2 linked regions of the Kluyveromyces lactis genome follow. The protein of the gene in region 2 purifies or fractionates together with the protein of the main gene of each other region. This does not show direct contact. Links are inferred from orthologs where the notes say so. Each region holds a gene or a part of one and is shown on either strand. Other genes may lie near its edges.

Region 1 (4,137 bases), on a different chromosome or scaffold from region 2:
CTGCATGGATTTCATTGAACTTAGCGGAAACATCTCTCAAATGCCCGAGATATTGAACAATACAAAGAAGCCAGATGCATGAAGCTTTTTGAAGTGACGGTTTGGTGGAGGAACAAAACGACAAAACTCTATTTAAGCCATCCTGTAATTTTGTTGTCGTCGTTAACTCTTGCAAATGTTTAACATCATAATTGATATCTAGCTGTCTTTCCAACAACTTAGAATTCCATCCACCCAAAATGATTGTTAAACTTTCACCTGAAACAAATAGGTAATCAATATGTTTGGAAGAATGAATTGTCTCATAAACTCCTAAATAATCATCGAATTCAGTTTCATTCGAGTTCATATAGAGATAGCCCCAAGTCATTATAGCTAGCTCATCATTGAATAGCTTGTCTTTTATGGCATCCTTTATTGAAATAGTTATGGACTTCCTGTTAACAGCATCAAGCGAATCCAAAGTTCTATACTTTAAAAGTTCACAATATGCTTTCAAAGACAACTCTCTACAACTACCAGATAAATATTGCTTTGTTATCTTCTGTAAGATTCTTGAAACAACAGTTCCAAATTCAACAGAATGTAGTAACTGCAATCTGGGGATTAAAGATGCCAAAAGGTACACTAAAACCGGTATAATTGCGGATGGATTATTCGATTCCTGATCAAAGTCAGTTGCCAGTATTTGGGACACAGAATGTGAACTTAACCCAATTCTTGCTCCAATAATCCCGAATGAATTTACGAGAGAGTCCGTATAGATGTCAGGCGGACTTTGTTTAGTATTGATTCGTTTTAAAGTGGATGCTAGAATATTCTCGGATTTCATGATAACATCGTTTTTAGCGTAAGTGACAAGAACTAGGAATAACTTGGAGAAAACAGGATCGTCCTTGGAAGAAACATTATTCTCATGTATTATCTCGTTAAATAAGAACAGCAATACCGAAGATACAGTAGATTCTGAGAGATGCTCGATATTTTCATGAACATGTTTCCTTACATTCTCATCGACCTCGAGACTTTTCTCGATGCGCATGGACCAATTTTCATCCTGCAAAACGACAGTTCTCTTACCGTAAATAGAATTGGATATTAATGTGTGCCGAAGGAATCTAACTCCTGTGACAATGCAGTCCTTTATAGAACAGTGTTCACTTTTGTTTTGGGCTTCAGATAAGAATAAAGATATAAATGAGGAAAAGTCAACAAACCTTGTTTCACTTATTTTTTTGGCCAACAAAGTATCCGTTGACACAAAACCAGTTTCCAAAGACGCCCTGTTCATTCTAAACTGATATGGGCTTAGACCTTTGAATGCTTCTTGAACAACATCAAAACGGTTCAATCGGCTAGTCCCTAAAATACTAAAAACTCTTGCCTCATTGTCTTCAAACGGAAATGCGGCATTATTGAATTTCATGCCGACAAATCTCAAGGTCATGATTGCTTCTTTTTCATCAGAGGTACCGTGTAGTAACGCATAATTATCTTTCAGTGTACTAGATAAAAATTGCTTCAACTGCTTTTTTGATTCTGATGGAAGAAGCGGGAAATGATGTACCAAAGACCCCAATGCATCTTTTATTGTTATTCTGAATTCATTAAGATCCCCGTTCAAGGATTCTAATAGAAACTTTACCATTTCAAAATTCTTAACAGAGTCAAAATCTTGCCTCAAAAGCTGACCTAGCGTCTCATATTGTGATGTTCGTAGGGTGATGCCAGACAATTTGTTTTCCTCCTGAGAATTGTACCGTGGCCAACCTGCTAATTGAATATCATTCTTAATAGCAGTAATGATTGAAGTCATATCATTTCCGGTTGTTTCTCGTAACGCTAGGTGATTGTTTTTGGCAACATGACGAATGAAAACCAGGGCAGCTAATTTGACTCTCAGATTGCGACTAGCAATGCCGTCCATTGATATCCTCAGAGGCAAATTGGGTAACCTCGTTATCAGAATACTTCGCGTTAGAAGTCCCAGTATTTTTTCCTGGATTTGAGGATTCACAGGTGGTAGATGCTCAGCAATATTGCCGCAAAACAAATCTGAGAGATATTTAACAAAAGTTTCATCATCATATGGTATCTTAATTCTCTTCAAAAGCGTGGACGCTGAATCTGATATATCGATTGGTTGTGCTGATACCACCAATAAGAATGGTATCAAAATCTGGTCATTACTAGTCAAACCTGAGACAGTAAAATCAAAAATTGCCCTTCTGTATTGGTTTAACAAGTCTTTGGTGAAGTATATGGCAGGGCTATAAATGAAAAATGACACATCAGTGCTAGAGAGACCCGGACAAAAGTAGGAAACTGAGCTACCTTCTGTTCTCTTGGGAACCAATAGAAAAAACTTCAAGAATTTTTCAACCAAAAATCTTAAATCAGAATCATTTACGTTTAAAAAGTCTATCGTTTCTCTTTCCTCTGAGGAACCTTGCAAAGGAGCTTTCCATGTCAACAATACTTTACACAGAATGTGAAATATTCTTGTTTGTGCTGGTGATGATAAGTTGGAAATATCTTCTATTATATCAGGCAAAAGCTCTCTTGATTCCTGTCTACTTATTCTTTCTACCCCTTTGGAAAGGAAAAACGACGAATAAACAATAACATTGGTAGCGTCCTGACCTTCATTCAGATTTGGCTTTTTAACTTGTTGCAATAGCTGCCTCACCGGAAGCTTACAGCGAAAATGAGAATTGACTCTCGACGTGATATGTTTTATGGACTCATAAACCAATTCCCTAACGGATGAATAAGGTGAGGCTAGCTTTAATAATAAAGGCGGCAAAAAAGTGTTCAAAGTCTGCTCGAATTTAGCATCATCTTTTGCCAATACTAGTCTGAGGTCAACCTTCTCAACAAGTGATCTCTCTTGGCCCTCACTCAATTGCTGGAACTTGCTCATTGGACAACATTAACACACGGTTTTATGATGTCTTTCTTCGTACAGTGGCAAATATGTTCAAATTATTTCCAATCTTCTGCTAATAAGATTCACATCTTTAAACTTTCAAACCTTTAAAGTGCAGTAGAATTCCTTTTGCCTGATTTAAATACCTGATTACCCGCACATATCCATGCTATGAAACCTTTTTTTTCAATTGACAGTTTGTCTATTTTTGTATTTACATAAATTCAAAGGGGAGCTGATAGCAATTGAAACCAGAAAAAATAAAACACCAACTTTGCATCAGTCCACCCTAAAGCACCAATAGAGAATCTAAATAGCTCACAACAGTAATAAATCAACGATAGAGAGCCTAATAAATGTTAGAATCTCTTGTCTCTGCTCTTTTAAACCGATTTTTGGGTGCCTATGTCGAGAATTTCGATCCAACCCAACTTAACGTTGGCATATGGAACGGGGATGTTAAATTACGCAACTTGCGTTTAAGAAAGGATTCATTAGATGCATTGGATCTACCTATCGATGTAAAGTTTGGATATTTGGGAGAATTGACTTTGTTAATCCCATGGTCCAGTTTAAAAAATAAACCAGTGAAGATCATAATTGAAGATGTGTATATGTTATGCGCTCCACGGACACCGGAGTCATATAATGTGGAGGAACAAATTGAGCGCGAGCTCAAAGTAAAACTTCAGCGTCTGGCAGATTTTGAACTCGCCAACAGTTCCAAACCAGATATCAATTTAGATTCTAATCGCAATGAATCTTTTACACAATCCTTGTTGACCAAAATTGTCGATAACCTTCAGGTAACGGTGAAGAATATTCATATGAGGTATGAAGATATGAATTCAGTGTTCAGTGAAGGACCATGCGCATTTGGTATTTCATTAAGTGAGCTCTCTGCAGTATCCACTGATGAATCCTGGAATCCCAGTTTCATCTCCATTAAACAACAAATTACTCATAAATTGGCTACCCTAGATTCTATTAGTATATACTGTAACACAGGCACAGAATCGATAGAAACGGACGACTCTGAGGAACTTTTGATTAGATTACGCGAATCAATTGCCGATAACCGAGGCGCTCCAGAATATCAATACCTCTTGAAACCGGTCAGAGGATCGGCTAGACTCAAAATGAATAAAGCTGGTGCCACTGAAGATGCTCCTCATATCGATGTGCAATTAATGTTTGATGAATTTGCT
Region 2 (3,379 bases):
AGAAACCATCATAACTTCATGGCTCGTCTTTAATATTGTCATGGGATTGATAATGGGAGTATTCCATCAAGCAGGAATAATACCTCTCATATCCTACTTCTCAGGTGAAGAATTCCCTGTTCATATTTGGTGGAAGACATATTCTCCTCCGACGTGGATGTATTCCAATCCTGATCTGACGGTTTCTACCACGAACTTTAAGGAAAATGTAGAGTTTGTCGATAATATACCTTGGCATGTTGTATCAAATCATGTTGTTGATTTAAAAGGTAGTGACATTGAGTTACTAAATAAAACTCTTACAAAATTTTCGGAGAACACAGACTCAATTCAGCTAATCATGCCAAATACTGTTCTCGATAAATTGACCCCCCTTCAGTCGCAATGGAAGTTCATCACAGAATGGGAGACGCAGCAGCATCTCGATTTAGATCACATTGATATGCCAGACTGGACTACCATAAAGCCAGGATTAAGGCTATACAACGTAAGTCTAATAGTTTGAAATATTACTGGCTTATTTTCTATTAGGAATACTTTCCAATATACACTGCATTTACCGATATGTATTGAGTCAAACACAATTAAATTAAATTATTTATAGAAGTCGAATTTATCAACATCGCTACCTGACTTGACTTGTGAAGCATACGCTTCCTCCAAATCGCTTTGTAGGATGACGTATCTGTTCTTTCTGACAGCTCTTAGACCAGCTTCTTGCATAATGGCGGCAATCAAAGCACCAGATAAAGGATCATTTCTGATGATCAAAGAATCTAAATCTGCTTCAGGAGCTAAAGACATCTTTGCAGCTATAGTACCAAAAATTAAACGACGTTCACGCCTGTCCCTTAATGAAGGGAATTCGATCTTTCTGTCTAATCTACCAGGTCTTAACAAAGCTGGATCTAGAGTATCAGCACGATTGGTTGCCATTATAACTTTAACATTTGTTGACTGATCAAAACCATCCATTTGAGTAAGTAACTCAATCAATATACGTTGGACTTCACGATCAGACCCTGTCTGAGCATCGAAACGTTTTGTAGCGATGGAATCCACTTCATCGATGAAAATAATTGATGGTGAGTTTTCTCTTGCCAATCTGAAAACATCTCTAACCATTCTTGGCCCTTCACCTAAGTATTTATGCACAAACTCTGACCCGTTCACTCTGATGAATGCGGCTTCTGTCGCGTTTGCCACGGCCTTAACTAACATAGTTTTGCCAGTACCAGGAGGACCATAAAGTAAAACCCCTCTTGGTGGGTCAATACCAATCTGTTGATACAAATCCGCCTGTACCAAGGGTAGTTCAACAGCTTCTCTTATTTCTTGCTTCTGCATGTCTAACCCACCAACATCGGCATAGGTGACATCTGGCTTTTCATTTGCGGCCATGATTGATATGCTAGAATCTGAATCAGGTGGTAAAATATCCACAAGGGCATTAGAGTGACGATGTAATGCAACTGAAGTTGATGGTTTTAACAGTTCCCTATCTAGAGTCGATAGAATCCTTACGACATAACTCATACCTGTGGTCGAGGAGACGATACCGGTGTTTTCGTCAATCGGTTCCAAAAATTGACCAATGACAAGTGGCACAGATTGGATTCTTTTCACTTCCTCTTGGGCTCTGAGTAATTCCCTCTTCAAATGGCGCTGTTCATCTTTGATATAATCTTCTTGTAATGTCAATAATTCATATTCTTTCTCCAGCTTCTTTAGTTTCAAGTAGACATCTGAATTACCATTCGCCACGGCAAATGAATCATTATTTAGCTGAGCAAGTAGGGAACCATATGATAGACCATTATTCTTTGCACCAAATTCTACACTAAGAACAGGTTGAGGAGTACTAATACCTAGTTCTTCCATAATGTTTTGATCTTAATTCGTCTTTCCCGTAGTGTGTAAATATTCTAACTCCCTTTAGACTATGATCAAATAAAGACGAAAGTATCCGAAAACACAGAAAAGTTCCAATAATATACTGCAATTCCAATAAACTAAGGGGTCAGTCTTACTACTTACACGGATATATGTGTTTGTACCTACATATATTTATAAACGTATCCCCTTCCACACTAAAGTGGTTATGTCAAATCGTTCAGTTTAATAATTGCATTATTTCATTAAAAAGTTAAATCTCATTTTGGGTATTTTGCCACCCATTTTGCAGTCACGTGATCTCGGTTCTTAGACAACTTTTTCGAAGGGCCTACACTGTTTAGAATGTTAACATGATAGGCTACCCACTACGTATATCAATGCACCTGTGTATACTCAAATGCAGTGTCCTAATAGTATACCTAATGATAAAAGTAGTGTGGAGTACGAGTAGAAACAACTCTTGGTGAAAGTGACGGTTGTCTCCGGTAAAAGAGTTACCAACTTATTATAGTATATTGTCCACTGTAAAGAACACCATATCTTAAAGTCAGCAACTATATTTGAAAATGTGAGGATTTTGGGAACTTCCTCCTGATGGGGTTTTGTTTGAGTTTCTTGAAGTTTTTTATCCATCAAATTGTCTATGGTATTTGACATTTCTGAAATTGCCAAGTTTTGTTCCTTTTGATGATCATCAAGCGCCATTTTTACCTTATCTTCGAAAGAACCGACTAACCTCCTTCTCTTCCAAGGTTCTAGCAGTAATTGAAATATTACGAAGAAGAGTATATTTACTCCCATCAAAATAAATGTACCCCATGTCGAAGTTCTTCTGATCTTATCTGACCAGATTTGTTCTTCGTGATACCTTGTAAGAATGGCTCGGTACAAATTCGTTGAAAGTTCCTCCTCCTTAGCCTCAAGTTCTGCGAGTTTTACCTTAGATTGTTCTTCCGTTTGAGAGTTCAATGCGTCATCTCTGTATAGTTGGGTAAATCTATCAAGGTCAGTAGGAGACCACGAATTTTTTCTTTGCAACAATTCATTAACTTCCTTTTGCGATCCCGATCTTGCTTTTATAGCTGTCTCGTACTTTTCCTTTGCTTCATTGACAAGTTTTTTAGTGTCCTTCAGCTCTTCTTCCAATGAGGAAATTGTATTTCTTAACTTCTGAATACTGGAATATCCTGTTACGTCATTCAAAGCTCTGGTGGCTGTGAATATGGTCTCTTGCAATGAATCTAAATACAGTTCCATTTTGCGAGCCCATTTTTTACGATGTCGTTCTCTTTCGCTAGGTAGGTCCTTGATCTTACCTTCAGCGTTATAGTTCAATTTTGAATCGTTACTGTCATTTTCCATCTGAGACAATCTCTCGTTCGCATCCTTTAAAGATTTTTGAGCTTTGTCCCATTGTGTTTTGAAATTCACTGAGTATTCCCGAAGTTTATTAGCTGTCTCGTTTGCCTTATTTTGTGATTTC

What was found. Proteins that work in one complex are often made in the same cells at the same time.
Region 1: the proteins of RPT3 (region 2) and ECM29 purify together in Saccharomyces cerevisiae (affinity purification with mass spectrometry; 3 studies listed by BioGRID). This does not show direct contact. The link is inferred for Kluyveromyces lactis from reciprocal best matches to the Saccharomyces cerevisiae genes RPT3 and ECM29.

The regions. Positions count from the first base shown.
Region 1 is NC_006041.1:67,927-72,063, reverse strand, and holds the start of ECM29 (Ecm29p), read right to left. Parts: upstream 2,924-4,137; coding exon 1-2,923. Other genes in the region: membrane morphogenesis protein VPS13, read left to right, coding at 3,286-4,137. UniProt on the Saccharomyces cerevisiae protein: Stabilizes the proteasome holoenzyme, probably by tethering the 20S proteolytic core particle and the 19S regulatory particle.
Region 2 is NC_006039.1:570,721-574,099, reverse strand, and holds RPT3 (proteasome regulatory particle base subunit RPT3), read right to left. Parts: upstream 1,882-3,379; coding exon 595-1,881; downstream 1-594. Other genes in the region: SMP3 (glycosylphosphatidylinositol-alpha 1,2 mannosyltransferase), read left to right, coding at 1-505; SHE9 (She9p), read right to left, coding at 2,290-3,379. UniProt on the Saccharomyces cerevisiae protein: The 26S proteasome is involved in the ATP-dependent degradation of ubiquitinated proteins. The regulatory (or ATPase) complex confers ATP dependency and substrate specificity to the 26S complex.